4 linked regions of the Rhinolophus ferrumequinum genome follow. The protein of the gene in region 3 purifies or fractionates together with the protein of the main gene of each other region. This does not show direct contact. Links are inferred from orthologs where the notes say so. Each region holds a gene or a part of one and is shown on either strand. Other genes may lie near its edges. The genes, in order: SRSF5, SNRPA1, SF3B1 and CCDC97.

What was found.
Region 1: the proteins of SF3B1 (region 3) and SRSF5 purify together in Homo sapiens (co-immunoprecipitation; 3 studies listed by BioGRID and IntAct, with this or other methods). This does not show direct contact. The link is inferred for Rhinolophus ferrumequinum from reciprocal best matches to the Homo sapiens genes SF3B1 and SRSF5.
Region 2: the proteins of SF3B1 (region 3) and SNRPA1 purify together in Homo sapiens (affinity purification with mass spectrometry; 8 studies listed by BioGRID and IntAct, counting the BioPlex papers as one, with this or other methods). This does not show direct contact. The link is inferred for Rhinolophus ferrumequinum from reciprocal best matches to the Homo sapiens genes SF3B1 and SNRPA1.
Region 4: the proteins of SF3B1 (region 3) and CCDC97 purify together in Homo sapiens (co-immunoprecipitation; 4 studies listed by BioGRID and IntAct, counting the BioPlex papers as one, with this or other methods). This does not show direct contact. The link is inferred for Rhinolophus ferrumequinum from reciprocal best matches to the Homo sapiens genes SF3B1 and CCDC97.

The regions. Positions count from the first base shown.
Region 1 is NC_046289.1:27,440,780-27,448,827, forward strand, and holds the start of SRSF5 (serine/arginine-rich splicing factor 5), read right to left. Parts: upstream 3,324-8,048; 5' UTR 3,169-3,323; exon of another isoform or gene 3,044-3,168; intron 2,744-3,043; exon of another isoform or gene 2,374-2,743; intron 2,275-2,373; 5' UTR 2,256-2,274; coding exon 2,130-2,255; intron 1,813-2,129; coding exon 1,742-1,812; intron 1,618-1,741; coding exon 1,519-1,617; intron 1,235-1,518; coding exon 1,165-1,234; intron 1-1,164. UniProt on the Homo sapiens protein: Plays a role in constitutive splicing and can modulate the selection of alternative splice sites.
Region 2 is NC_046311.1:12,857,848-12,865,107, forward strand, and holds the start of SNRPA1 (U2 small nuclear ribonucleoprotein A'), read right to left. Parts: upstream 3,244-7,260; 5' UTR 3,147-3,243; coding exon 3,065-3,146; intron 56-3,064; coding exon 1-55. UniProt on the Homo sapiens protein: Involved in pre-mRNA splicing as component of the spliceosome. Associated with sn-RNP U2, where it contributes to the binding of stem loop IV of U2 snRNA.
Region 3 is NC_046291.1:33,139,483-33,147,675, reverse strand, and holds the start of SF3B1 (splicing factor 3B subunit 1), read right to left. Parts: upstream 3,014-8,193; 5' UTR 2,864-3,013; intron 1-2,863. Other genes in the region: COQ10B (coenzyme Q-binding protein COQ10 homolog B, mitochondrial), read left to right, coding at 3,284-3,462, 6,489-6,638. UniProt on the Homo sapiens protein: Component of the 17S U2 SnRNP complex of the spliceosome, a large ribonucleoprotein complex that removes introns from transcribed pre-mRNAs.
Region 4 is NC_046298.1:39,625,328-39,633,081, reverse strand, and holds the start of CCDC97 (coiled-coil domain-containing protein 97), read right to left. Parts: upstream 3,089-7,754; 5' UTR 1,996-3,088; coding exon 1,950-1,995; intron 21-1,949; exon of another isoform or gene 1-20. Other genes in the region: HNRNPUL1 (heterogeneous nuclear ribonucleoprotein U-like protein 1), read right to left, coding at 5,916-6,032, 6,610-6,801. UniProt on the Homo sapiens protein: May play a role pre-mRNA splicing through the association with the splicing factor SF3B complex which is involved in branch-site recognition.

The sequences.
Region 1 (8,048 bases), on a different chromosome or scaffold from region 3:
CACACAAACAACCACATGGTATAAAAACAAGACTACTGGAAGAGAAGATGTTAGATAAAGTACAAACATGGCATTTACCACACTTGTATTCTATCAGAATTCAAAAATTATGTCAGGGCACGAAGTAAGCAAATAGCAAATTGCTTTTAAGCAAAATGCTTCAAGAAAATTCAGATTTTAACATTAAATAGTATTAGTCTATACTGAGCTCAATACAGAAGGAAAACAAAAAACAAAAAAAACAAACAAAACAAAAAGAAACAATACAACTTTTAAAGACTAAAGTAGAAATTTTATATTTAAAAACAGAACATTTACAAGACACCAGTTATTTTGTGCCCCATATGTCATTAAAAAAGTTTACTTTACCTTTATTATTATTTCCCTAGGCTAGTCAAGCAGCAAACCGTTAATCGGTCGAAGAAACCTTCATGACATATGCCCGACTGGCTCTTCGCCACCCACTTGAAGGACACTACCCAATCGATGGAAGCCTTTAATCGCACAGCCCTCCCTATTAGCAGACTACTGGCGGATGCAGACATGTTCTACTCTTGTGCAGTTACCAAGGACCACTTTACTGCGATCAGGATTCCAACGACCACCTAATTTCGTATCTTTCAACTCTTTTCGACCAGGACCTCTTATTCGGAAGCGTTACAGGAAGACAGCTCTCAACTTAAGGATCAGATCACGTTATCAGCGCTCTGGGATCGCTGCAACCTGGCACTTCAAGAAAGTGCCCCGATTACGTCTAGACCGGCAAACACAGATCTAGAGGTGGCCAATTGATCACTGTAGGAGCTGACTGGCAAAGTCAACCAGGCCCAACCAAGAGTGACCAAGACAACGATTAGGATAACCCACAGGCACTCCTCGTCATAAGGCCAACGACACAGATAGGCTGGCAAATAAAGGGTTTAATATTTGGTTAAAATTGATTTTAAAAACAAGTAAAATATCCTCAAAACATTTACATTTGATCACTAATATTAAAGTTTGAAATATCCCCCAGTTACATTTAATTAAAAATTTAAAATTACAGTTAAGTCCATTAATTTAATTAAAAATAATACTTTTAATAAAATATTAATAAAAAATTAGCTACCCATTAGTTTTTTAAAAAACCACAATAAAATATCTCAAAACTGAATTACAACAAACCTGCCAGCTGACTCTTGAAGATAAATTCTCAACTATAAGCCGATTTTCTGTCCTAACCGGTGGAGCATTTCTGAGGAAGGAAACGAGAATTCAACAATGGAAGAAATGCAGTAACGTATTGTTTATTTTGTTCAATTTTGACCAAGTTTAAGCAGTCAGATATGACAAGTCATTCAAATGTTCATCGACAGTTTCTGACTTTATGACTCATTACACAGACTTATCAGAAATACTAGACTGACATAGGAATAACAGAACTGACTATATGGTAAATATCAGAATCACTTATTGCTAATGGTTCTTAATCACTAAATACCCCTGCAGTAACGATTGCTCCAAGAAGCCATCACATACCGTCTATCATTTCGAGGTCTGCGACTACTGAAACGGTCAGAATAGCGTCCTCTACCTCTTCCCCCTCGGGATCGAGCCCGAGCATGTTCAATAGTAACCCTAGAGAAGGAAACAAAAACCTTTATCATTCACCTAAGCAATGAGACCTAGAAAAATACCCAAAATCTAGAATGCTCTACATTACAATGCTAAATAGTCATAAACATAAAAATAAGGTTCTCACCTTTCACTACAAAGTTCTTTTCCATCAAGTTCATATACAGCATCGTCAGCATCCCTGGGATCCTCAAATTCCTAAAATATTAGCATGAAAAAATATAAAGCTTTACACAGTTTTCAAAGTATATTCTACAACATATTAAGAGCACCAAAAACATGTAACAGAATGGGACGAGTATGTTAATGACAGTGCCATATAGATAGTGAGTCTAATTGAAAAGTGATCAGGACTGGTTTCCTTCTAGCCAGCAAATTCTTTTGTTCACTGTCTTAAGGATACATAACATTTTCCAGACACACTACCTGTTCTCAATAAGATCGAAAACGTTACTTATCAAAATCTTTACGAACTGAACAATAGATAGCTCAAGAAGTTCTAACTAAATACTTACCACAAAACCAAAGCCTCTTTTGAGATCGATATCTCTTATTCGTCCATACCCCTTGAAGAATCTTTCCACGTCTTTCTCCCTGGCCGCTGGATTTAGCCTCCCGATGAATACTCGACAACCACTCATAACGCCCGGCTAGCAGTTCCTGTTAGAAAATAATTCAATTGAGACACCACCAGTGAATGTCAAATGAATGCCTAATCGAGGGATCAAAAACATAAACAGCATAAAATAAAATGTTTACCGGGTGATGTTATAAACAAGATTGCCAAGAGTGCCTCTTATTAGGCCAGGTCCCTTGCAGACAAAATTAAAACTCGGCTCCCAACACGATCCTTCCCTGGGCCCAGAACACAGCAACCGCAACGCCCACTGCCGCCTCTGGAACTGCGCAGCCTCACACTCTCCCCGGCTCTTCTGGCCCCCTCCCATCTGCCGCAGTTAGGAAAGGCCGAGAAGTGCGGGCGGAGCCGGCCCCGCCCTCCGCAAGGCCAGCCCAATGACGACGGGCCGAGCGCGCGTCGCCGCCTCCCAGGAGCGTCACAGCGGGTAGAAGACGGAATCTCGCAATGCCACGGCCGCGCCTGCGCAGATGGCGGCGGGAGGACGCTAGGCTGCCACAAAATGGCGGCGGGGTAGCCGGCGGGGGGGGGGGAAGAGCCGCGCGTGCCAAACTCCCTTCTCTCCCCCTCCCCCGACTCCACTATTCCGGAGTCACCGTACCCGCCCGCAGAAAACCCGAACCACACCCCGAGCAAAGCTCTCGGCTCACTACTCGAGGGGTTCGACTAGTGAATCAGAGGCAGGGAGGGGCGCACAACCCCTCCATGTAAAAACGACCGTAACCACGACCGCCCTTCCACCTTCACTTCCCCTCAAACAATACCCAAAGGGAGACGTGCCCCAGCGCCCACCTCGAATAAACTGCGCTCATTGGACGCCGTCCTCCGCAAAGAGAGCAGCCCTGGCCACTCGCGATCTGAGTAGCCATGAAGAAGCCTCGATCCGAGAAGCCATTCCCTCAAAGTGAGCCACTCACCTACCGGACAGGATCTTTGGCAGCTGAGACCCAAGAGAGAGGTCCGTAGTCTGCGACGGAGCCGTCTACCTCCCCGCAGACCAGGACTCAACTCGTCTACGTATCTCCACAACTGACGCACTTAGCTGCTCTGGCGTTCCACAAAATGGAAGGCGCGCCTTTACGTCACATCCGGGGCCGCCCATGGGACCGCCCCCTTAGGTCCAGGGACGGAAGTTTCGGTGGGACCGGGGCCTTTTTACCGTGACCGCCTGACCGACCTTCGCCCGCGGTGGGAGGGACCAAGGGGCGAGAACTGGCGTAGTTTCGGCCGTCAGGTTCCCGGCGCTGGAGGGGCAGCCATTGAAGATGTTCGCTTTCCTCAGGCTGTCAAGTTCTGTTCTTCGTTATCTCTAGTATGAAAATATTCTAAGATAAATCACGTCTCTCTTTTATCTGATTTTTTTTTCATGGTGACCTGAAGAGTACTGGGTAAGAGAAACTCAGGCTTTGCGAAAAGTATCTGGCCATCCCTGCCCTCTTCCTGCTGCTTGCAATTTGAGGTTGCACGTTGGAGGACGCTCCTTGATGAGCAATGAATCTTTTAACCGTACCATGGACGTGTTAAACCACACTAGTTATAGTAAGAAGACTAAGGAACTGCACTTTTTCTTAAAATGGAAGGTTTTTTACGTGATGAAATACTGAAATTGGGACTGCAGTTAGAAGGCCATCTTGAATTGAGTCCAGAATGCCGATTTCTCCATTTGCACTACACCAGGACTGTGCTGGCTATAAGAGGTTTCAAGCTCTTCCGAATCCAAACACATTTGGTCAACCCTCCCCGTTCAGGTTTCTGTAACGGAACACAAGATAGGCTACATTCTTCAGAAACAATGTTGTGCTTTCAAAGTTTCAAGTTTATTGGCCAATGGGTGTGAAATGTAGCCCTCCGCATCCTTAACTCCACTTTCCCAGTAAGGTTGTCAGGCTTAGAAATTTGGGCATGAAGATGGTGAGAGGCTTACGTTTCTTTAATACGTTTAAGTGGAACGCAAATCATCCCATTTTTGAGAGCTGCCCAGAATCTAGGGTTGCTGTTTGTAACTAGAGTTACACAGAGATAAAAGTAGTTCAAGGAGAGGAGCTCCCTGTCCTTACTCTGACCTCCACTGACCACCGGGGCATTTAGGAACTCTGCATTAGAACTTGGATAGTTCATATAGCATGAGCTAGTCCATTCATGAATTTTTATGTTTATTTTAAAAAGAGCCTCAGCAGGTACACAGCAAAATAGTGACGTTATCTATTGTGTGGGGGAATTTAAAAGGAAATATTTAAGTTAAAGAACATCTTTAGCTGATAGCCTGATCAACATTGGCATTTGATAATGCACAAATTGTACCAAGCCAGTACTTAATTTGTTTGCTTTCTACATAATTTTCAAAAAATCAGTCTTCCCATTCATTATTTTATACATTTTGTGTTGTTGACCGAAACAACAGCTTGTGATTTCACTCACTAAACATTTTTGCCGCAGTAAGAGATCTGGAAAAGGTTTTCTGGGGGGGGGAAAAACAGGAACAATGGTGCTGTACACCGGGTAAAAAGTTGGTGCCTTCAGCGCGTGCTGTTGTGATTTTCTTTGGGACTAATTTTTTTATAAAGCCTTTTCTCTTGATTACTGTTACAAAGTCTGTCATTTCCACAAAGGTGATTTTTCATCAGTATTCCCTAGTGACTTGATCTACTGTAATTTAAACCACTTGTCTTCTGCAATGCTTGTTTTTTCCATGACAACTACATAGTAAGTCCCTACCAGATTGTTTCTTAACAATTTCTCCAATAAATACAACCTCATCTTCCATGCGCAGAATTACTCTCCCTCCTGTGTGATCCTACAGTATTCTGTGTATACCCCTATAATTCCTTCATCACTGACTTATAATAAGATATATGTTATTCATGTTTTTGTTTTCCAGAAATGCCTAACACAGAAAAGACTCAATATTTGTAGACCTGGATTTGCATTAGCATTTTTTTTCAGGTCATCTTCTATAAGAATGTTTCAACAAAATGGCTTGGCATCCTTTTCCTAAGACATCCAAATGAGGGGCAAATTTTTAGTAAAGGAAAAAGTGCAAAGAAATCACAGATTAATATAAAGACAAAGTTTATTGGCCAACTCTGTCGGGGACTTTGAGCATAACTGTGGGATGTGTCATTCATCCCATTCCTGCTTTTATCTAACTCAGGTCAGCAAATTACAACCTGTGGGCCTAATCCAGCCTGCCACCTGATTTTTGTACAGCCTGAGGGTGGTTTTACATTTTTAAATGGTGTGGGCTGGAGGAAATCATAAGAATGGCTATTTCATGACACATGAAAAGTATATGAAATTCAAAGATCATTATCCATAAATAAAGTTGTTTTTGGAACATAGCTACTCCGTTTTATTTAATTATTGTCTACATCTGCTGTCCTGCGACAGGGCTGAGTAGTTGCAGTAGAGACACACAAAACCTCAAATATTTACTATCTGGCCTTTTACAGAAAATGTTTGCCAAGTTTTACCTGAGCTAACTGATTCCTAGACTTTAAAATGTTCTGTGAATGTTCCACCCAACTCCCTTTGTCAGATAATAACCAGGAGACAGGATGTGGTCTTTCTTTCTAAATAGAGTTTATTTTATTACAGTTATAAAAAAGAAATATAGCAAAAAAGTTCAACAGGAAAAATAATTGAAAAAAGAGAACACTCATGATCCCATCTCCCCAAATCTATCTCTGATTATAACTTGCTCTTTTCCTTCTTATGGTTTTTGTCCTGAGTGTTTAACATATGTTTTCTTTTCCAATTCAAAAATAATACATCATCATTTTTAAAAACATAGATATGAGAATATATTAATAAAAGGCCATCCTTATTCCCAACCCTGAGGGATAACTATTTGGCTTTCTTTATAATTACCCTTTAGTGTTTTTCTATAAGCACAATTTTCAAGATTTTATTTTCAAAATATGAATCATTCTCACATATAGAATTTGGTATCGTGATTTTTTCTATTCATAAAACTTATTCATGGGCATTTTCCAGCTTTCTTTGTTTTAATATACTTATGATCAAAAGTGCATATTCAGATTTGTATCTCTTTTTCTACTCAACATGACACAACTACATGCCTGGGGAAAATATTCATTCTGAACGGCAGCTACTCTGTTTCTCTGTAAATGTCCTAAATCTCACCAGATGCTTAAAAATTCCTATCCCAAACTCCCAGCACTAAGGAAAAAGTGTTGCTTCCTTGATTCTAGCTAATAATTCTAAAGATCTTTCGAAGGAGTAAGTATCCTTAATCTCTCTTGGAAATGTGTGTTTTTTCAACTGTTCCGTTTTGGCTCAGATTCACCCCTATATACCTATTTGACTTCTTTCTATTACTACATCCTGATTTTATATTGTTTAATTTAGTGCACAATAATTAAAATACCAATGAAACCACTATTGTACTTTCACTTGAGAGCCTAGTTCAGTGTTTCTCATCACCAACTGTACACTAAAATCATTTGGGAAGTGTTTATAACACTCCTGGGTTCCGACTGGCAGAAATTCTAAATTAATTGGTCTGGGGTAGAACCCTCATTTGTCAGTAAGGGCTGCAGGCAATGCTAATACTTAGCCAGTATTGGAGTTGCTGACTCAGGTCTAGAAACTCACTTTTTTCTCCATAAAACCCATCTGTCATCTGGCTCCATCTTCCCTCCTCCAAGTACTCATGCCTCATTCAGGTTATGGCTGGAGCCCTACTGGGACAGTCACAGGGAAGCAGATTCATGACACAAATCATTCTAACATCAAGATAATTAAATTCAGGGTACCTAAGCATATCATCCTAATTATCCCTCTTAATATCGACAGCTGCTATTTCCAGACACATAATCTCAGTCCTCACACCAACTCTTCCATGTAGGTGTTATAACATTTTTTTAAATGAAGAAACTGAGGCTTAGAGAGTCTAAGAATTTATTTTGCCCAGAGCATCCCACTTTCTGATTTTCCTGCCAAGGCCCTATTCACAAAAGCTTACGGCATGACTTCATGTAATACCTTTCTGTGCATTAAGGTGGCCCCAGAAATCCCAGAAACAGGAAGCACTACTACTGAATTGCAGAGTCCTGACCACCAAGGCCAGAGAAGTTTGGAGTGAGGTAGAAATTAGAATAGGCAGAGAGCATCTCTGCATAGGGAATGAACTGAGAGAGAGAAAGGATGCTGAAAATATTTTCTTAGATGTGGATAGAAAGCAATTCCCACTAATTCAGAATTTGTTGATGAAACTTAGAAATTATTTATAGATCCATAACGTAGTGCTGATTTGATGTCAGTTTGTGCTATGAAATAACTCCCAATTTAAATTCTAGCCTTAGCTGCTGTTTCTGTCCCACTTTTACCTCTATTCTAAGTTATCCTTTAACTCAAGGATTCTGTAAAAGAATCATTTGTGCTCTATTCCAAATGCAGATTCCCAGTGATGTTTCCCAAGGGAGCCTGATTCAGGAATCTCAGGCTCAGGAGTCTGAATATTTAACTGGCACATTAATCAGGTGAGTCCCAACTATAGTTTGCAACCAGACTTGCACTATTTGGTTCACTCCTTTCTTTCTCATTATCTCAGCAGCCGTTCCATGCTTTTTCTCCTCTTCTCCAGTGACCATTTCTCCTTCATTGTTAGCAGTTCTTATATATTACTGTGTGACAAATTATCCCAAAATTTAGCAGCTTAAAACCACAAACATTTACTGTCTCATAGTTTCTGTGAGTTAGGATATTCAGGAGTGGATTGACTGGATGGTTTGGAATCTCTCATACAGCTACAAACTGTTGGCTGGGGCTGCAGTCT
Region 2 (7,260 bases), on a different chromosome or scaffold from region 3:
GCATCAAACTGGTCTAAGGTCGCACCTAAATTTTCAATGACAGGAATCTTATACCCTGTAAAATGGAGGAAAAAACCCCACACAAGTATTAATATAATTAAAAGGCACCTTAAAACACGGGCAGTATCACATGGTCATTCGACTCAAAGCTTCCATTTGTTCAGAACGTGTTTACCTAGCACCTATGCCTCACCAAACACTGCAAGGTACTGGCACACAAAATAGGGAAAAAGTTACAAGTCCCGGCTGCCATGAAGCTTACCGTGTAGCAGTGGTCGTGAAGGTGCTGATGTCAAGGCCGATGACGACGAGGATACTTAGTGACATTAAGTGGTAGCTAACACTTGGAAGGGTATTTGCAAGGTGCCTCATACTGTTCTAAGCAAGGCCCCAGAGCTAGTTAAGTGGCGTAACAGGAATTTACAGTGAGCTGCTTATGGCCAGTGTCCAAACCTTTTTCATACACCGGGGACAACAGTTCTCTTTTGCCTTCCCACAGGTCAGCTTCATACAACCCATCAGGATAGCCTCACGACACCATGACAGTTTCCCCTTACTTCCCCTCCCCCGTCTCCAATCCAGGGTTGAAGGTCAATGACTTATACCCAATGGGAAATCACGCTACGAACAATTCAAGCGAATTCTCACTGACTTGTCTAACATGCGCTTAATTATTGTGCTAGATGCTAGAAGCGAAGAAATGAACCCAGCCAAGGTTAAAGGAAGGCCACCGTTCAGAGCTGCAAGGGCTACATCCAAGTTAAGTGCTGCCCCAATTATCCTCCACACCCCACATGCTTCACACTTGAAGACCACAGAGGTCAACCTGAGCCGGGAAGGTCAAAGTGGTCAGTTACTCTCCAGTTGAATCTTCCTCTGAGAAACTTAAGTGCATCAAAATAAAAGCACTGGGCAGAGCGTGCAGCACGGCAGCTTCCCAGACTCTACAGTCCCCGTGGGAGCAAATCTCAGGCCAAGATTGTACAATCTCATCCCTGCAGAAGCTGCTCTTCGGGTCCTTGTAAGGAAGATGTTGAAGAAAATTTGCCTTCATCGGCGGATGTGACTTTCTTGTTTCTTTTTATCAGGGAAGACGTGAAGAAGTGAAGAAAGTTTGCCTTCATTGTTTGATGTGAGCTTTTGTGTATTAGCTTTTACCTGTTCCAGTATGTTCCTGATTTCTGTGCTGTGATCAGGGTTGAGTCACTTCCCCCTTTGGTCTCATTCTCCCGAGCAGCGGAGACATGAGATGAGGTTGCTTTTCTGTCGTGCTGTGAGGTGATGGTTAGCTTAGAGTTAAAAGAATTCTTGATCAGGGGTTGAGAGAATTCCCTTTGTTCTGTTTCGCCTGTATCAGCAGAAGTGAAGAAGTAGCTAAGTTATATCAGGACGACGTGACAGGCACGTTGCCAGGTCTTGTTGCTTATCCAGATGAACTGGCCCTTCGGCCAGATGGGCAGCATTCGTATCAGTAACTGCCGGACCCTCCCGGAACCGGCCATTCCCGGAGGGGGCGGCAGGAACAAGAAACTTGGCTCTAAGGCACATCTGAGAAAATATTTAAGACAGACCTCAGCTGGCAGTGTAATCGTAATTAAAATTTCATCATTTGTCATTGGTGACTCTTCATCATTCTGACATTTTGAAGACTTCCAGCAACACAGCTTACAGCACCAGGGGCTGTCCTGACTTCCAGCCGTGGACCTGGTGAGGGCTGCCTGGTTCCCGGCCTCTCCGGTGTTGTTCCCCACCGTTCGCCTTCTTGAGAACTGTTAACATTTTAGAAGCTTGTATGCAGCTTGCAGCTTACAACATCAGAAGACGCCCTAACTTCCAGCAACAGCCACCACAACAGCAACAGCATTCCGGAGAACTTGTGAACAGTTTAGAAACGTGTATACAGCTTGCAGCTTGTAATGTCAAGGGACGCCCTAAGTTCCAGCAACGAAAAAACGGCAGCAAAATTCTTGGGAACTAGCAAGCGGCGGGGCGGGAGACGCCTGAGTTTCTCTCAGCTGCAGACCCGATGAAGTTTTGACTTATGACTTTTCCTACGGTTTGGTGAGCTTTTGGCATCTACTATCACAGTTACTATCCTAGAGGGCTTATTACTGCTTTTGGATTCTCCTTACTGACGTTATTTGTGCATTTAGCCAAGTGATTTTTGATCAATAGTAAACATGTGCTGGGATCTCTTAAACTTTTAAGTACGTGTACTCCTTTGACGTGACCTTGTTATCAATGTATATAGTTTAGTCTTAACCACCTTTACTTCTGTCACTAGCACGTTCTATTACTTGCCTTTTGCTATTGCCTATTACTAAATACATTGATTAGGTATTACTAAATCAGGTCATCGGGCCCACTCGAGCGTGTGTCCTCTCCCTTCTTTCCCCCGCTCGTCAGGACTGTCCTTCCTGGAATCATCTTCTGACACGCTGATTAAACAGCTGTACTCAGTGTCCTGCCCGGCCTCCCTAAGGTTGCAATAGCTCCGGGAACCCGATTAGTTCCGAGAGCTTGCACCACTTACACACGACACCCGGTCGAGCAAGCCTCGGGGAAACAGTTCACTCCATAAAACCTGCCGGTAAAAGGGAAATCGCAGACAACTGGAGCTCGTAAGGCGGAAACGTTTGGGCAGCAATCGCTTTTGTTCCCGGACTTCGTTTCCTCCCTCACCGACTGGAGACAATTCACACGCGTCCTACCGACACTCGCACGATGACCAGTACGGACTGAGAACCAAGCACTCAGTGCATTTCCCCGGCCCTCAAACACAGCGGACGGAGGAGGAGCCCGAGGAGGCCTCACGGAGGCCCGCGGACACGGACCAGGAAGCCACCGCGTCGGCCCTGGAGCGAGGACGGAACAGAAGCCTAGGCAGAGCCCAAGGGACGGTCATTCGGTGACGCCGGCAGGACTCAGGCCGCGGCGGTCCCGGCGCAGCCGCCCCCTTGGGGCCCGAGCTGCAGGCACGCGCGGCCCCAGCTCCAGCGCTCGGCACACGCGGCGCGGCCCGGAGGCGCGGCCCGGCGACGGCCCGCCCTCTCCGCGGACTCACCCCGAAGGTCAAGCTCGCGGTCCCGCACGGCGTTGGTGTACTGCGCCGCCTGCTCGATCAGCTCCGCCGTCAGCTTCACCATACTGCCGCCTCCCGCTCCCGGTGCGCGGCCCGCGGCTGCCTCCCGCCACACACAGGTCCCGGCCTGCCCCGCGCCCGCCGCCAGGCAGCACCAGTCGCACCGCCGCGTGCGCGCGCAGCTCGACGTCCAGGCCGAAGCAATCGAAGAGCCGCGTCCCCGATCTCCTTCTCCTTTGAGGCCCTGGAGCGCGCTGAGGACGCGTCTAGTCCTGCTTGCTTTCCTAGGGCGTCTCTGGAGTCTGGAGGACCCCTGATTCCAGACATTTGTGTCCGCAAGTTAAGCAACATGTGACGATACCCGAGTGGAACTTTTTCAGGCATCAGTGCACCTGGAGGTGAAGGTGGCGGGCACCCGTGGGATTCATGCAGGGTCCAGGACTTTGGATTCCCGTCTGGGTCCTGGGCTCTGGCCCCCGGGCTACAACCTGAACCCCGGGGCTGGATCACCTGCTCCCGGCCAGGCCGCTGGGACCGCCCGACCTCCCAGCACCTGGCACCTGGGCACGGTCGACTTTGTGGTTAGGCCTCCAGACAATTAAATGTTTATTTTAATGCATGATAATACATAAAGGTGGGCACATCAGAAGTGTGCAACGTGACGAATGATCGCAGAGTGAGCACGCCAGCGAAAACTGTCGGCCCTGGTGCAGACACGGAACACTACTTTGAAAGCGTCCCGTCTGAGAATGATAGTTTTATGTCTTCCTTTCCATTTTGTGTACTAGTTCTTTATTTTTTGCCCTGTGGCATTGTCTGGCATCTTAAGTACAAGGTTGGACAGTGGTGGTAGGGGACATCCTTTTAGCAGGCATCACTTCATAGCCAAGGGGGGAAAAACTTAATCATTGATCAAAGTCACTATCACCAATCATGAAACCAATCAAAATCCTGTATCACCTACTAGGATGCAACGAGAAGAACACATTACTTCTGGGAGATTACGGTTAAAGACATCTGACCAGAATTGAAATATGAGGAAACCTCAGACAAAGACACGGAGGGTCAGCATATAAATAACTGGCCTGTAGTCCTTAAAAGGTTCAAGGTCATGAAAGTCAGGGAAAGACTGAAGAAATGTTCTAGGTTGAAGAAGACTTGAGAGACAGGAGGATTACATGCAAAATGTGATCTAAACTGGATCCTTTTGCTAAGGGCATTCCTGGGACAAGTGGCAAAACTGGAATGCAGTCAGAGGACTAGACGGTAGGTAGTAATATATCCATGTGAATTTCCTGATTTTCTGATGATTATATAAGAGAAGGTCCTTGTTTATAGGAAATAGCCTCTAAAATATTTGGGGGTGGATGGGTAATAGGGTATCATATCGGTAATTTACTTTCAAATTGTTCAGGAAAACATTTCTTTGTACTGTACTTGCAACTTTTCTGTAATTTTGCATTGAGATTGTTTCAAAATAAAAAACGCTACAATCCCAACTTCACTTAATCCCACAGAGGACCACCAGGGGGAGTCCTTAGACCAAAGAGTTGGTTTTGGCCCTTGGCTTGCTGGATTGAAAAGAGTTTCTTTCTTTACTTTAAAATAGGAAATTTGTATGGGTTTTTGTTGCTTCGGCATATGGACAGGGAGATAAACTAGAGGCAGTTATATTAACCTTAGGTTATCTCTATGAAGTTGAGAACAGATTTTCTGTTTTGATTTCATTTCTTTTGGCTAGAGAGTCTCAACCTCAGCACAGGTGACATTTTTAGGCTGGATTATTCTTTGTTGTGGGGCTGTCCTGGGCATTCCATCATGTTTAGAAGCATCCCAGGCCTCAGCCCACTAAATGTCAGTATTTTTCTCCAGTTGTGACCCCCAAATACCTCCAGACATTGCCAGATGTCCCCAGGGACACAAAAATCACCCCCGGTTGAGAACCACTGTTTTTGGCAACGAGATGTTTTCTGCTCTGGGCACTTGGACTCCTATTTGCTCAACAAGGAGCCTAGTAGGTATCGATCACCCTTAGTGTAGCTGGTACATATTGGGGTGGGGGGCAGCTTCGGGTGATGGGAACTGAACCCCAGGGCATGAGATGGGTGCTCAGCATTGCATCACCTCGGGGTGCTGTTCTGTGCACAGACAAGCCACAGAGCCTGAGGTGTCAGGAAGGATAAGGCCTGGGTTCAAGGAAGAAAAGCAGCAGGGAAGTCCGGAGCGGGATGCAGTCTCCTCCTTTCCCATGGCAGCCAGCACCCAGTCGCTTCCAACTGGCTGGGCAGAACCTTAAGATGCTGCAGAATGGCTGGTATACTACTTTTTGTTCTTATTAAAATGCCGTTCTTTTGTACTTCTCCATCTCCTTGCCTTTCCGTCGTCTGACGCAAACCTCCACCCTTCACCTGCTCCCAGGGGCCCCAGCATACCCCAAGCATTCAGGTTAAGTTCCCTGTGGCCATATTATCAGTGATTTAAATGCAGTGAGTGACCGTCCCCCCATATTCAAGAGCACTGCACTGTTGGCCTCACTTTGACCATGGTGCCCTTTGGTTTTTCTCAACCTCTGTCCAGCCCGCTTCCCATTACAGCTGTGTCTTCTGTAAAAGGTGCAATTCTCCCCAGCTCTTTACATAATTACCAGGTATAAAGTCCGCCGTGGCCTGGGAGGGATGGGGATATGCACCCGGGGACCACTTTGAGGTGCCAAAGAATTTGGCGGACAGGGTAAGGAAAATGTCACCCCCTGGAAATAAAGCTAGTTTAAAACAAATGCATCATGCCTGCCTTTGGTCAGCTGCACAAGTGATGCCCCCTCTTGCGGAGAGAGCCAGCCTCCCTCCCTGGGCACATGGATGGGAGCAACCTTGCCAGTGTGTGGCCCAAGGCAAGTCACTTTACGTCTGTGAGCCTCCGTCTGTGAAATGACAGATTTACAGGGGAAGAGCCATGATTCTGTCACATAAAATAAAATCCATGAACATGTCCTGCGCCAACTGAGTCTAGATGAAGTTAAGGTTGGGCCATTTGCAAAAAAAGGCATTTTATGTCGTCGGTCCTTTTAAACAAGGTGGCATTTGGTCCTAAGAACTTTGTGAACAGGTTCCCAGCTGCCCACGGCACTCGTCAGCCCCAGGACAGGCTGGGCCAGCCACTGCGATGAGGGTATGTGTGTTCCAAGGCTGTCTGGTTGGCTGCCTGTAGTGGGAATGCTTTGGGAATAAAAGTTTATGTCTGATTCAGTTCTAAACATGTTAGACCATAAGCGCTCAGTGGGCAAAGAGCTCTAGGGGCTCCAACGGCTCCCCTCCCCCACCAGAGATACTTAGCTGCTGGTTTTAACCTCAGGTGAGTCTCCTGGGGGAGGTTGAATCCGTATCAGTCATCAGCCCAGCCCTGGCTGCTGTCTCGCAAATACACCCACTCATTTCCCCACTGGCCCCTCACACGGACAGGTCTGGTCAATTCACGCTCGTGCTGGGTAGTGTTGGGTTGTGGGCCTTACCCCCATTTTCTGACAGCATCATGCTACACCCCTCCCGCTAGGTGGTCACAGGAAGAACTGCCTGGAGCTTCGTTCTGTTGCACAAACCTGTCCCTGTGGCCACAGCTGATGGGACCGGTGAACGCCGATGAAGGCAGACCAACCAGGGCCAAGAAGCAGACTCAGAAAGCTCACCTGGGAGATGGTGGTGGCCTTGTCATTTGTCCCATTCACTGCTCCAAAGCAAAGGGGTCCAGGTGACATTTAATGCTGGTCTTAGGGTTCCCAAGGCCCAGCAGCACCCTTCCCTGAAATTCTGAGTCAACCCTGGGATCCTAAAACAATGCCCCTCACCCACTTTTGTATTTTCCTAAGTCAATTCTAGTTGGTGAATTTCCTTTATTTGCAGCCGAAGGGTTCCTAGCAAAACAAGCTTCTGATCTTGCAGAGAGGACACGGTCAAAATCGCATGCAGCATGGAACCCATGGTGCAAGTGTTTCAGTTTCTGTGCGGAAAGAAGCTGTAACCTAATTAAATCAGGCTTGGCAGCCATAGGTGAAGGGGCTTGCAGTCTGGGACAGAAAGGAAGCATCCCTATAACCAGCCTCTCCACCCAAGCGGGCGTCTGTGGCCTGAAGAGGGGCTGTTTGCCAAAGGACACCCTGGGGCTGGAACTCTGGGATTTCTCCC
Region 3 (8,193 bases):
TTTTCCTGATTGGTCCCTGACTTACAAAGTCAGTCAGTAAGGGCAAACTGTCTAGTTAATCCTCTTTGATCGTCTGATTTTTATCAGAAACTAACATCTGTAATAGTATTAATCTCTTGTAACTCAGTTGCTGATTTAGTCAAGGAAGGTTTTCTTTCAACCTAACATTTCACAAAGATAATGCCTGTATGAAATCATTGAGCATGCTAGGAAGATTATTCTATTGATCAAAAAGGTGACAGTAATGAGTTTATGTGAATTTAAAAACTTGCTTTATTTCAGAAAAATATATGTGATATTTAAGTAAAGGTCTTGTTCTGTGGTTAAAATTCATCCTATATTTGTTTTGACTGGAGCGTTGATTAAAAACAGTATTAACACAAAATCATAGCCATCACTATTTACCTGAAGCCTTTCTGGTTCTGTTCAATTTAAATTCGGGGTCAATGTATGATTCTAAGTGGAAGTCAATCAGGAGGATTTCATTTGGGAAGATCACATGAAAGGCCATCTATTTATATTTTTATTACAGAAGATTTTAAACATCCACAAAAATTATATATAATACTATTATAAACTCTCCATATACCCATCATCGAGTTCAATAATTATCAACTAATGATCAATTAATTTTGTTCCATCCACTTTACTCCTCCACCCCACAAGATTACTTTAAAGCAAATCAAAGACATATTTCACCTGTAAAATCTTCAGTATGAATGTCTACTGTGTAGAGAGATACATTTCAGTCGAATTTCCCAGTTTTGTATGCCTTTTTCTGTTTAGTTTGTTCAAAACAAAATCTATTAAATAATGCCTCTTAAATATTTTAAATCTTCAATAGTAGATGTAAAATCTACTCCCCTTCTTCCTTCTTTACTTGACATTTATTTGCTGAAGAAATTGGATCATTTGTCTTACAGAATTTCTCACATTCTCTATTTGGCAGATTGTATCTCTTTGGTGCCTTTAACATGTTCTTTTATTCCCTGTGTAAACTAGCATATCTAAAAGCTTGGCCAGATTCAGCTTCAATTATTTTTCCCAGAATATTTAATATGTCGTGTCGTGTCAAATGTATTTTTAAGAGCATAGTTAGTTTGGACTCTAAGATATCGCTTCCCATAGGTCTGTGCTGAGTTTCATTTACTACCAATCATTTCACATTGTATAGACAAACCTTTGAACCCCCAATTTGTGTAAGCACTGTCATCCACTGAAACTGGACCAGAGTTTATTATATTATTACTTTTAAGCTTATGACATACATGTATTACTCTGCTGAGAAGTCAAATGTGTGTCATACACTGTCATCTATTACAAAGATTCCTTTATTTGCCTTTAAGTTTTTTTTTTAATTGGGAAACTATTCAATTGGGTGGCCCAATTCAGTAGGTATTTTCATGTCTGGGAAGAACTGAATGAGAAAATGTTTGGCGAAATTAATAAAAGAAGGCCTTAAAAGAAGTGCATAAGTAATTATACTAAAAAATATGTTTAGCAGGCCTTCTAGTTAACATCACCCATGGTTTGAAATAGAACTTAGCAGAAGGTGGTAGTGTAATGCCTATATTTTGTAGGCACTGGCAACCACTGTAGTTTTTTAGTAGGGGAATTATATGATGAAAATTTGTTTTTAAAGGAAGACATTACTGAAAACATTCAAGATTTAAGTCAAGAAGAGCAGGGATTGTGAATTTGAAGGTAATCTGATATAGAATTTTTTGGATGCAGCTTCAAAACCACCTGAATCGACAAACACATCCTATGTTGCATTGAAAAGTGTTTGACAAACTTTGTAGCTGGGAATTTCAACTCACTTCACAAAGCATCAAGTAAGGGATGACTGCAATGAACAAAGCAAGAGTAGAAAATAACAATCATACATATACATAGCAGCTGAAATATGTCTGTAAATGTAACTCAGATCAAGTCACTATTCTGCCCTCAACCTCAAATGACTTCCCTTCACACTTGGAATAAAATCCAAAGTTGGTACCATTAACCTCCCAGGCACTCTGACAAAGCCCTCACTACCTCTGATCTCATTTGCTACCACTCTCCTCCTCACTCACTGTAACCCAAAGCCTCTGCTCTTCATAAAACAGGGCAAAGTTGTTGCACTTGCTGTTCTCTCTACCTGAAGTAACTCCCCCCACCCAATATTCACGTAATTCACTTCCTCACATCATTTAGGTCTTTGTTCAATATCACCTCCTCAGCGGCCTCCCTGACCACCCTACATAAAGCAGTGCCTCACCTTACCCCTCTTCATCGCCTTACCTTGCTTTACTTTTTTCTACATCATATGATCTGATATTGTGTAGTATACTAATTGGTTTTCCCCCTGGAATATAAGCTCTATGATGGTAAAGACGTTTGTTCACTTATCCAGCACCTAACACGGCAGAGTAAGGGCCACAAAATATTTGTTGGCTACATTTAATCAAGTATTTCATTTACTCCTCAAAACTGCAATAGATAGTACTGCTATTCTCAGTTTACAGGAAACTGTGTGCACAACGGTTAAATAAGGACCTGGGAACAAAAGGGTTGGGGAAAAAAAAAACACGTCAGGACTTGATGACTGACGGATTCCTGATATGGGTGAATCAAAGCAAAGCTGTCTGGTTTTAATGGAATGAGGGAAACCCAAACCATACACGAACACCAATTCAAATGCTGGCCTCGCAGGAAGAAGCAGATAGAACTGAGTATCTTCCCTAAGAACGTGACCTTATGTTGCCCTTACAACCACCCCACGGGGTTGCGCCGCAGGTACTGTATTAGACAATCATTACCAGCAAGACTGACCGCCACACTTCGCAGCCAGGAGCGAGGGCGGGTCCGGCTCAGCACTCACCGGTTTGGACAGTTACATAATTAACACTGAGAATGTCCGGCTTCCTCCGCCCCGGGGCTGGGCTCACGTGCTGGGCCTCGCGACCAAGAGCAGCGCCCAAAAGAATCCCCGCGGTTGGCAAATCCCGGGAAGAGTTCCAGCGCAGGGGGTGGGGTGAACCGTCACCGCGAGTCTTACGTAAAGCGTCGGAGCGGGCGGCGAGAACAAGAGGCCGGCCGGGGAGGGGGTGTGTCCAAGAGGCCTGTTGCTCCCTCTAATTGGCGGGCAGAATGACCCGCGCGTTTACACTCGGCCCTACGGCGGTGGGAGCGTGCGTCAGCTTTGCGCAATCGGGGTGAGAGGAGGAGCGTGTCCGGTGGCTCATGGGGCTTGCGGATTGGCTGAAAGGCGCCGGAGCCAGGCGACCTGGCCCAGCCGGAGATGGGCGGTGCTGTGGGCTTGGTCCTGGAGTTGGTGACCGGCTTCAGTGAGACGATCATGGCAGCTCGGACTGGTCAGAGGGCCCTGAGAAAGGTGGTCTCGGTCTCGGGTTGTCGTCCAAAGTCGACGACAGCAGCTGGAGCCCCCAATCCGGCGCAGGTGCCTGCGCGGAACGTCAGGTAATAATCAACTCGGGCGCCGAGACGTGGGTAGTTTTCCACCCAGGCCTGTTGAGTGGGAGTACGAGGGGGGATTGTATATTAGATGAGGCGGAGCCAGATCCGGAGCGTTTCCGCGTCTCTGGAGGGAACTCCTGAGTTCAACATTTAAGGGACTCAGGCGCCGCGCTCATCACCCCGGGCCGGACGCTCGCCGGCCTTTCCCGGCCGCCCCGTCTGTGTTTGTGGCTCACTGCCCTCGCGAGAGACGGTGAATCATCGGCGTAGCGACGTTGAAACAGCTAATAAAGCAATTCGCCGACCTGTGCCTTTAGGCTCTTCCGGTCCCTTCCCCTATGGCCTGCTGCTTCTGTTGTCAGAAAGTTTTATATTTGCCTGTGAGGGTTGCGGGCTGCTGGGCGTCTTGGAGTTTGTGGCCTGGTGTGAACCCCCTTCTGTTCCTGCTGAGTGCCAGATGGCCAGACGAGCTTTCCCAGTTTCTGGTAGAGGTCTTTGCCCCTGCCCTTTGATTCTTGCAAAACTAAACGTAGGAGACGTGGGGGACTTGGAATTTTTTTTCCACTCCACTGTAACTTACAGGTCCTGTAACCTTGAACCAGAGTCTGCCTCGATTTTTGTTGTTGTTGTTGAGTGGGTGTGTAAATGCATGTGGAAAGGTGAAGAATTCTGTATTTCCACCACTTAGTTTCCTTTTAATAATAACATTGTAATAAGTTATGCTGAAAAATTAAAGTTAGTGTTTAAAATGAAATGAATTGTAGACAGTACGAGATGAAGGGAGAAAACACGAATCTGGTTGAGCTCCAGGACATTTAGATTCCATGAAGAATTTTTAAAATGCCTACAACCCAGCCAACTCATCATTTTAGACAAATACTGGTTAAAACTGGAATAAAATCATTTCAGGTCGTTTACTCCTGTTTTAGGACATAGCCTGAAAAAGTAATTCCAAGCAGAGCATAGCAAACGTTATCGTGCTGTTCAGATCTGCTTGTTTTTTGTTTCTCCCCTTCCTAGGCTTCCCCCACCCCTCCAGTTCAAGCCCTGTTTCTCTGTCTAGTGTAGGACACAGCTCCCTAGCCCATGCTGGTATTATGAGCCTTGCACGCAGTGGGTCGCCGACTGGATGTCCATGGCAGCTTGTGGCAGCTCTCACTGGCTGCCGTCTGCTCACGATAGCTGCCGGCCACTCACGATGGCCACCGGCCGCTCCTGGCAGCACACGCTGCTTATGGCCTCCCAACTCCAGGGAGAGCTGTTGTTCACAATCTTAGCTGTAGAGGGTGCAGCTCACTGGCCTGCGTGGGAATGAAGCCAGCCACCTCAGTGTTGGGAGCACAGCGCTCCAACCACCTGAGCCACCAGGCCCGCCCCTAGCTTAACCATTTTCATTGCTCTCTATTTCATTGCCTCTGGAATAAGCCCATCCAGTTTTTATAAATAGCTTTAAGTGTTTAAAAGTTCTTTTGTGTTACGGACCCCAAACTTGTCTCCCTCTACTTGGGCTTTTGTTTTACCTTTTGGAGCCGTATTTTCAGGTATCAACCCTTACTTTCCAGCTGAATATTTCCAGTTTCTTCGACCATTCTTTGTTTAACTTGATTTTCTGTTCTTCCCCACTCAAACTGTAGGGTGTCTATGTCCTTAAAGAAATTTTATTTATATGTAAATCATACTTTATATGGATAAAATTTTATATTTGATAACATAAAGAGATTTCACCAGGCCACCCCATTTCCCTTTAAAAAATAATTTGAAGATTTAATTTAATGAAATCTCTCTTACTTGAAACTCTTCAACAGCTTCTCACTGAGAATAAATTCCAAATTGCTTTATCCTGGGCAGTAATCCCCAGCATGATCCAGCTGCAACCTGTCTAACATTATTTCAGACACTCCCCGCCTGCTGTACTGCTGATACACTGTTAGTCTTTTGTAGTCTGGACTCCCTGCTGCCTGGAATGCCCCCTATCTCCCTCTCCTCCATATATAACTCTATATGTTACACACGTGTATGTGTTTACATATAGGCACACCCATTTATTATATACATATATACCTATGTCTCTCTTTGCATGGCTATCTCCTTACCACTATGTGTCAGCTGAAATACAACCTCAGCTGACTTCCTAGACCCCGATCTAAAGGAAGTCCTAATTGCATGTTCCCATCTTCTTTCTCTTTTAAGCACTTTTTTTTTGGAATCTTCAGCTAGAATGTAATCTTCATAAGACTCATGTTTGTTTTATTCACCATTATATCTATATAGTCACCATTATATCCATTATATGTCTAGCACAGAATAGAAGCTCAATAAGTATGTGAACTAATTCATGAATAGTAGTGTAAAATAGTTATGCAATAATCTCATTAGGGAAAGACTACAAATATTTAGGTGAACAAGGGTATATCGGGGAATCTGGATTCAGAAGTACCTCAAACAATTAAGATTATAATTACCTTGGCATATGTTTTTACATATATGCACAAAGTGGAGATCAGAAAATAAAAGGAGAGCAGAGTGACAGTTCTGACAGGGTCATCAGATCTCCAATCTGAGAATGAGACCTAATTTCAAATCTAATAGAGTAAATCAAGAATTAAGGAACCCCTATGGATCCAGCTGGGGAAAAAACCTGGGTAGATGAGTTGAAAAATACATAATGAATATTCTAGCAAGTGTATAGAAGAATACGTTGTGACACATGACTATAGACCAAAAGCCAACTTTTTGGGATAGATCCCTTTTGTGCCAGAAGCTTCTAACCCTAGCTATAAGCTGTTATTTTCAGTTTTCTTTACAGTGCTCAAAGAAGCTTGTTTTTTTTTTGTATGTGTGTGAGTGTGTGTGTGTGTGTGTGTGTGTGTGTGTATGTGTGTGTTTCAGGAATATTGTAAAGTTGCAAAGCCTTCTGAAGTGTGATAGGTATTTTACAATCTCTAATAATTTGTGTTTACAATTTCTGTAATTTGTTTTCCTCTTAATTTTCGATGTCTCTCTAAATCAAGTAATTTTTGTCTTTTTAGATATTTAGCTTCCTGTGGTATACTGATGAGCAGAACGCTTCCGCCAAATACTTCAGTGTTGCCTAAGGAGATATATGCAAGAACTTTCTTCAAAGTAGCTGCACCATTAATAAATAAAAGAAAAGAATATTCAGAGAGGAGAATTATAGGGTTTGTATATATTAGTTCTACTAAAAGAGCATGTTCACAATTTTCTATAGAGTATCATAACTTTTTTTTTTTTCTGGATTCTCTTCTTATAGACTAAGCTCTGTTTCTAGGTTGGCCTTTCCATAGCCCTTGCTGTTTTATAAATATTTGTTGAATGAATATAATTATATGGTAACTTTATAGGATAGATTTAAACCTTGACATGTAAAGAATGGACCTGTTTATGACCTGCATTGTTGTACACTGTTCTTTTCTATAGTGGCAACATTACTGATACATTGGCCCAGATATATTTATATATCTCCCTCACATACGCATATACATAGATGTACATACAGGCATACTAAGAGGCTCCTACCATCTAGAACGAAGGTTGGCAAACTTTTTCTGTAAAGGGTCAGATAGGAAATCTGTTAGGTTTTTGTGGACCATACTATCTATCTCTGTTGGAGCTACTCAACTTTGTCATTGTAGTCCAAATATTTTCCCTCATATATGACATAAACACATAATAATAGCTACCATTTATGAAACATTGTACACTGCCAAAATTGTTTCATTTAACCCTGAAAAGAATGCTTAGGGGTATTTTTCAATGATGAATGAAGAGAGTGAAGTGGAGAAGTTAAGCAACCTGCCTAGGGTCACATGGCTTACTATGTTTTAGAGGAGATATTTGAACACATTCTTTTCTGACTACAAAGTCCATCCCCTTGACTTCTATGTTGTACTACTTTCTTAACCTTTGTAGACTACAAAGGTTAAGAAATTAGCTTCCAGGATACAAGGTTTCAAACTTTTTCATGGGACTTATTTCAGTATTTATTTCAAAGTGTCTGAAAACCTGGGGAAGGTAGGTTTTTCTCCCACTCCCTCTGTTGTGGGCCTCATTTCATGATCATAAAGATTAATTTAAATTAATATGTAAAGACTTATTCTGGCATATTCAAGAAATACCTTTTTGTAATTTTGATTGTTATTATTTAAATTGCTTTATAATTTTGAGATGAATTATGTTTTAATTATGTTGATTCTTTATAACCAAGAATAATACATATCTAGATCTGATTTTTCAGGTTGTTTTTTACATGATTCCATGATGCAGAGTGGTATTGTTTGTTTGTTTATGATTTAAGCCCTAAAGTTTTTTTTGTTGAATTTATTTCTAGATATTTTGCATTTCTATGGTACTGTTGTTTTCTGTTTCTTGTTAGTATAGGAAAAGTATTAATTTTTATATATTTCATAACAGGCTACCTTCCTGAAATCTGAATTGATTCTCTCCTGAACTGATAGTCATATCACCTCCCAAATGATAAATTTACCTGATTATTTTCCATTCAGATGCCTCATATTTCATGCTCTGATTTAATTACTTTGACTAATACTTTCAGAACAATGTTACATAACAATGATTATAGCCAGCATCTTTGTCATATTTCTAACTCTAATGGGAATGGTTCAGGTATTTTACCATCTGTGGAGAGAATCATGTATTCTTCTTTGGGCTAATTAATACGGTTATAATAATATAATACTTAGTATGAAACCACCC
Region 4 (7,754 bases), on a different chromosome or scaffold from region 3:
AGGGGGTGATGGTTACAGGTGCATGGCTTTCAGGGGGGCGGTTTCATCGCTGGCAAGAGAAGACTGAGATGGGCAGTCGCTGTGGAGGGGATAAAAGAGGTGGTGGTTAGAAAGACGCTCAGGAGGCCATGTAGACAGGCCACAGGGCTGAAGGGCTGGGAGGTGAGGAGGACAGGGCAGCCAATTAAGATCCTGGGCTCTGACCAGGGGACTGGTCAAACTGAGGCAGAGACATGGATGAGGAGCAGGTTTGGGGGAAGATGCTGAGGTCAGTTCGGAGCATGGAAGGTATGTGCCCAGGGGACACCCAAGGGAGGCACCTAAGAGACCACTGGTACATGGGACTAGAGACTTCTCAGGAAAGAAGTGCAAGGCTGGGGACAGAGTTGTGGGGGTCATCAGAGCCAAGACAACAACTAGAGTTGAAGGACATGAGAGGTTATAGGGAGGGCAGGGGTGTGTGTGTGCAGAGAAGAGGGATGAGAAGAGAAGAGGGGCTAGGAAAGAGCCCTAACTGGAAGGGGAGAAGATATGCCTGTGAAAGGGTAAAAAAAGGCCCCTTAAAAGATAGCCACGCCTTATGTCCTGGAACCTACGAGTCTCATCTTATATAGCCAACAACAACAAAAGAGTCTTTGTAAATGTGATTAAGTTCAGGATCTTGAGACAGGGAGATTATCTTGCATTATCCGGGTGGGTCCTAAATACCATCACACTGTCCTATAAAAGAGAGCCCAAGATTTGACACACACAGAAGAGATGACAAGCAGAGATCGGAGTGATGTGGCCACGATCCGGGGAATGCCAGGAGCCTCCGGAGGTGGAAGAGGCAAGGACTGGGTTTTTCCCTAGAGCCTCTGAGGAGAGTCCTCCACAGTCCTGCTGACACCTAGGTTTCAGCCTTCTGGCCTCAAGAACGTGAGAGAATAAATTTCTGTTGTTTTAAGCCACCCAGTTTGTGGTAATTTGCTACAGCAGCCCTCGGAAATGAACAGAGAGGATAAGCAGGAGGAGCCTGAGACTAAGGAAATCAGAAAGGGGTGTTACCGAAACCAAGGGAAAACCTTCAAGGACGGAGGGCTCCATACCATTCAATGGGTGACTCAGTTTAACTACACCGGGAGGTCATTTCTAGGAGACCCTAATCAGAGCAGTTTCTGAAGGTAAAAGTCAGACTACAATGGGTGGGAGGTGAGAAAATGGAGACATGTATGAATGACTCTTTGGAGAAAACAGACGGTTTCTGGAAGGCAGCACGGGATCAAGGAATACATTTTTTTTTAGGTTAAAATATTTTTATTATGGAAAACTTCAAACATGCACAAAAGTAGAGAGTACAATCCCCCCTCCCCAATATATCCATCCAGCTTCAACAATGACCAGTTCTCCCAACCACACACCTCACCCTACATGAGATTACTCTGAAGCAGTGGGAGGGAATTTTAGGATGAGCAAAACAAAAGCATTTAAGATACTGATGGGAAGGCATCAGTATGAATAGAGATTGAAAATGCAAAGGAAAGAAACGGGGGAGCACAGAAATGGATTAAGGACCCTGAGGAAGCAGATGGGACTGTGAATTTTGGGCGAAGGGGAGAGTCAGTTTGACAAAAAGGAGGTAGGTAACTTGAGAAGCGGAGTTGGCTGGGACAATGGGAGAGTTAGCCCAGGGTAGGGGCGAGGTTTATGTTAACCTTCTCAGGCTGGCCTGGTAAGGAACTGGGTTAGCCTGGGACACGGAAAAGGCTGGCCTGGAACTTGGAAGAGGTTAATTTAGGGGGAAGGGAGGGGGTGAAGGAGGTTAACCTGGACAAAGTGGTGATGGGGACAGGCAAGGCCGAGCACAGGTGTCCTCCTTTAAAGAGTTCTCCTCCGCGCTCCTGGGGAATCATTTCCCAGTGACACCGCAGTCCCACCCTCCCGCCACCTCCGCGTGGCCAGGACCTCACCTTCATTGGGCTCCCTCACAGCCGCCGCGGTCGCCACGGCCTCCATCCAGATTTCCTACCACTTGTTAACTGGCGCGGCAGGACCCGCACACTAAACCCGGCCACCGGCTTCTTAGCAGCCACTTCCGGCTGAGCACATTCTCGATGCTCCGCCCGGTGCTCCACCGCGCCCAGAACCGAAGTTCCGGGCCGAAGGCGGACCTCCCCATGCGCATGCGTGCCTCCTCGGGCCCCGCCCTCCGGAGCCAGGAAGGAAAAGGGGGCCAGGGTCAGAGAGGCCCTTCCGTCCCCCGCCCATCTGAACTGCTGCGAGTTGGGAATATCAGGAGGGATCTGAACCATTGTTCAACTTGTTCACTGCTGTGACTCCAGAGTCCAGCATGATTGATTTTAGGATGGATGGTTGAATGAGGCACCCTCCAGGGACTTAAAGGGTTTGTGCTCTAGTGTAGACCCCCGTCTATCCCCTTATTTCTTCACCCCTTCAAAGAATATTTGCTTAGCCTTGCCTCTTGCTTCTGTCATCACACCCAGTCCCTGGCTCATGAGATGGGTGGTGAGGACCTGGAGAATCTGCAGATGTGGAGGGAGAAAACCGTGGCCCTGCTTTGCCCCAAGGTGATGGGTAGGGACTAGGGTGTTACCAGGAGTAGACATGACGTCATCAGTGACCACCCCGAGTGCCCAGAGCTCTGATGGACCGAGGGGGCTAAAGGAACTGCCACTACAGCCCGGAGGGTCAGAGAAGGCTTCTTTTGGGAGGAGGGGATGCCCAATTCATCCTTAAGGATGAATTAGGATAAGGGTCGCGGGCACAGGGAGGTGTGAGGCGAAGACCCAGAGGGGAGGGCAGGCATGGATAGTTCTGGTTACTGCAAGGACTCAGTGTATGGTCAAGGAATAGAAAGAATTTTAACTTAAAGGTCATAATTGGGCTGTAGAGGATTTGAGAACCTCATAAATTTTGTGCAAACTCCATGTATATGTGGATTTGGTTCATGGCGTTTATAGAGTCTACAAGGGACTTAATGACTCCCCCAGAACAAACAACTGATCTTAAGTTCAAAGGAGGAGCAGCAGGGGCTGGCCAGGTGGCGCAGGCGGTTGGAGCTCCGTGCTCCTAACTCTGAAGGCTCCCGGTTTGATTCCCACATGGGCCAGTGGGCTCTCAACCACAAGGTTGCCGGTTTGACTCTTTTGAGTCCCGCAAGGGATGGTGGGCTGTGCCCCCTGCAACTAAGACTGAACACAGCACCTTGAGCTGAGCTGCCGCTGAGCTCCCAGATGGCCCAGTTGGTTGGAGCACATCCTCAACCACATGGTTGCCAGTTCAACTCCCGCAAGGGATGGTGGGCTGTGCCCCCTACAACTAGCAACTGGCAACTGGACCTGGAGCTGAGCTGTGCCCTCCGCAACTAAGACTGAAAGGACAACTTGAAGTTGAATGGCACCCTCCACAACTAAGATTGAAGGGACAACCTGACTTGGAAAAAAGTCCTGGAAGTACACACTGTTCCCCAATAAAGTCCTGTTCCCCTTGCCCAATATAATCTTTAAAAAAAAAAAAAAAGAGCAGCAAAAGATGAAGCTAGCTAGTTAAATCATCTGGGACCTGGCATTGGCTGCCCCCATAGGCGTGTGAAGTAGCCTGTGGGGATATGGCAGGTGGTATCAGGATAAGGGACTGGAGATAAGGGAGATCTGTGAGGAGGCTGATGCAGTAATCTAGCGTGGCCAAGAGCAGTTTGTATTCACAGGATAAGGGATCTGGAGGAAAGTGGCCCATTTGCTACTCAGGAAAGGTGGGGACTATACTTAAACGTATCACCAGGTGGCCAGCAGAGGGCGCTGTTACCCAACACACGGAACTGTCCGGAAGGGGACTACCCAGACTGGAGGCCTTCCCTGCCTACTCTCCTTGAAGAGGGAGTGGGGACTCTAGGGTCCCTTTTAGCCCAACTAGCCAAACTTGGCTCCCTCTCACGTTTAGATGTCCCACCCCTGAGCTCAAAATGAGTAGATCTTCCTCCTTTGTGTAGCCTGTGTCCCCTTCACAAGGTTCCAAGATACTTCCTGTGAGGGCAGGGGTGGGACTGAACTGGTTACTCCTGTGCCCCAGTATTGTCCCTCCAAGGGAAGGAAGAGAACAGGCTGTGGGGATGCAATCATAAAGTCCTTTACCCTGGGCTATTTTAAAAAATGTTCCCTTCTCTAGGAAGCCCTCACTTCACCATACGCCCCCCCCCCCCCAGGCTCTCACAGCTGACCACTTGGTGCTGTCCCCATTTGATGACAGGTCTGTGTTACCTTTGGACTCAGAGGCCTGTCAGGGCAGGGTCCAGGGCTGCCTTGGCAATGCCATGTCCCCAGTACTGTCCAGACTGAGGAACAGAGCAAGCACCTAACATACTGGCTAGATAGAGGTTCCTGGAATCTCCACTCGACTAGACCCAGTGCAGGCAGGAACCGTCCGAAGTCCAGCTCACAGGCCAAGCCGGAGGTAGAAGCCATACCCGGTGATAAGCCCCAACAGGCCAGCCCTGGTTTCCATCCCATCAACCCTGTCACCCTCCACATAGGGACCTGGTTCCATGCTGTCTACTCACAAATCCTCTATTCCTGTAGAGATTTGGGACTGGAAAGGCCAGGGACCAGAGAACCACTTTACAAATGAACTAGTGGGTTTTAAACTGAGGGCCCCAGGTTTAACGGGGGCATCCCCAGCACCAAAAACAGGGCCAGGCACACAAATCCCTCAAAAAGTGTTTAATGAATGAGTAAATAATGTCCCCTTGGAAAGGCCCCACCCCAATTAAAGGCCACTGCAGTAACACTTCAGGGTTTTAACCCCACTTCCTTCCTGCTAGGAGGTGCCATGCCATTTATTGAAAGAAAACAAAATAGAACAGGGCAAACACATTTCTTAATAAGTGCAGTTTGTTAAAATCCTGTTAAAACATATGGGTCAAGGGGAAGTTAAAAATAATCAGAGGATCACTGTAGGATAAACCTTTAAGTGTGGCACCTGGGAGACCTCTGGAGAGGAGGTAGTGGGAGTTCTGAAAGGAAGAAGCCCCCCACCTCCCCTTTTCCCCTCTTGCCCACTTAATCCCACCAGAAACTACCAAGACGCCCGGAATAAAAGGTTTCAAGTTCAATAGTCACACTCTCTCCAAATACAAAAAGCAGTTACAACTCAACACAGAAGCTTGTGTGCAAAGTTATGAGAAACTGAGACATCGTATAAAAAGTTAGGTTAAAGATGATTCTGTGGTTTTTTGTTTTGTTTTGAGGGTGTGGCTCTTCCGTGGTTGCCTGAATTCAGCAAGGAAATGGTTATCCCGATGAAATATCAACAGCTGACCCACAGTAAAAACGGACAAATTCTAAAAATTAAAAAAAAGCATAATTACAAAAAAAAAAATCTGTCACTGCTTCCTCCCTCCACATGTTGCTTTTTAAACTTTTTTTAAAAAAGTTTTTGATTTTTTTTTTTTTTAAATCCTGAAAAGTAGACAGTAAAACAGCTTCTGGAAGAATTTACAACCAACTGCATGAGGGTCTGGGAAGCCGAGGGTCCGGGAAGCCAAGGGGCTGGAGCAGGGTTGGGATGAGTGGATAGGAAGGGGTCCTGCCCTCAGCCTCACTGTGTGACCAAGGGAAAGGAGGGGTCTTTAGTCAAAAAGGAGGAAGGGAAGAGGAGGAGGAGGAGAAGGAAAAGAAGGCGGGGAAAGGAGGGGGAGGGAGGGGGAGGGAGGTGGGGGGAGAAACAGAAAATAAAAGTTTATTGTTGCCTGTTTGAATCCAGAGAAAAACGCCCAGCCCTGTGTGGGGGAAGAAGCCCCTCAGAGGGGAGGCAGCCCTGGGATGGCCCATTCCCCAGCACCACGGGACCCGGTGGGGGCAGATGAGGGGTCAGGGTGGACGCTGGTGGAGGAAGCGGCAGGGGCCTCCGGGGCACACTGGCTACTGAGTGCTCGTGCCCCCCTGCGTGTTCCCGGTGTAGCTCCCGTAGTCATAGTTCCCGTAGTATGGCGGCCACTGGCCCTGGTTCTGATAGTACTGGTTCCACTGCTGGGCATACTGGGGAGAAACCAAAAGCACCAAGTTGACCTTCATCTAAACCCTCATTTGGCTCCTCTCCTCACGCCCAGGGTAGAGATGGGTACAGTGATAAGTGCCGACATGGGTCCCCTGACAGAGGAATCAAAGCACCTAGGTTTGACAAATGACTGACCTAATGCCACATGGGTGGGCAGTTAGGGAATGCAGCCCAGGTCTCCTGGCTTGCTAACTTAATGTCCTTTCAGGTATAGCTAGATACCACGTTCAAAATACTTATCACAGATAGGGCCACCTAGCGCCAAGCTATCAGAACAGTCACTGGCCATGGTGCTGAAGCAGGATCTAGAGGCCACTGCTACAGCCTTTCCTTGCTGCACTGGGGAGAGGGGCTAGAACACTGGCTGTTGAGCAGCCAGTGCAGAAGTGTTCACCAAATGGAATGGCTCTAACAAATGAATGCCAGCCAGGGCCAGCAGGCTGCCTGTCTTCTCAGGGATAAGCAGGAACTCAATTCTGGGGATACACCTCCACGTGGGACCCCTGGAAGTCTCTCCATTCCATCGCCCCCAGCCCTCACACCCCTCCTGGCACTTACCTGCTGATACTGGTTATAGCTCGGCTGAGGGTAGGTCTGTGCGGTAGGGGGCGGTGGTGGGGTGTAGGGTGCTGGGGTGTAGCCGCCGTAGCTCCCATAGTTGTAGGCAGGTGGAGGTGGAGGTGGAGGTGGTGGGGCTGTATAGCCCTGGCTGTAACCTCCCTGGTTGTAGGGTGGCTGGCTGTAACTCGGCTGGAAAGTGGGGAGAAAAACCAGGGCTCTGTGAAATAGCCAGCTCAGCTGGGATGGAGGGCCTTCGTAAGCAGTGGGTCCACAAAAGAACTTCCCTGGTGGAGGCTGTCTGGGGGCTGAGGAGGGAGGTGGGTCAGCTCTGTGACATGGCAGGACAGGCTAGGATATAAGGCTGTGTTCTAAACTCTAATCCCAGCTCTGAGATCCTGGGGGAGCAAGGCACATAGCACTTCTTGAAATCCCAGGTTGGTTGGTTTTTGTTTCTTCTTCTGTAAAATGAGAATTACAACAAAACTACCCCTTCAATTGCCTTTATGTCCACAAACTATTGGGCACACAGTAAATGGTGGTAATTGTTACAGGAAGAACTGCTGAGAAAAACAGTAGTGGCAATTCCCTAAGTGCTTCCCATGTCCAGGCTGTATTATTAACTCATCTAATCCCCCCACCAGCTCTGTGAGGTAGGTTCCATTAGCCTCATTTTACAGATCAGGAAGATGAGGCTCAGGCAGGTGAAATCACTGGGCTCAAGTTACACAGCTAAAGTGGCAGAGCTGGGACTTGACCCCAGGTCTGCCTAGTTCCAGAGCCTTACGCATGAAGCTATAATGCCTTCCCCCAACCCTCACAACAAAGCTTGGATGTGAGTTCTAGTAACAATTCTAGTCCTTGTGAGGAAAACGAGGTCCAGAGAGGTGAGGCTCTGTCCAAGGTCACAAAACCAGGACGTTACAGGGCTGGGACTTGAATTTGTGCCTGCCCAACTCCTGTTCTAGGAAATTTTCTGGTTAGACCAGGATTGGAAACCATTCATCAGTCTCCTGGCAGCTGTTCCCAGACAAGGGGGTCAGACCGTTCTGGCCTGGGCAAGTGGTAACTTCAGTCAAGTGCTTCCTTGGGCATTCAGTGAGCCAGTGACACAGCCAAGAGAAATGTACTTGCTGGAGGGACCA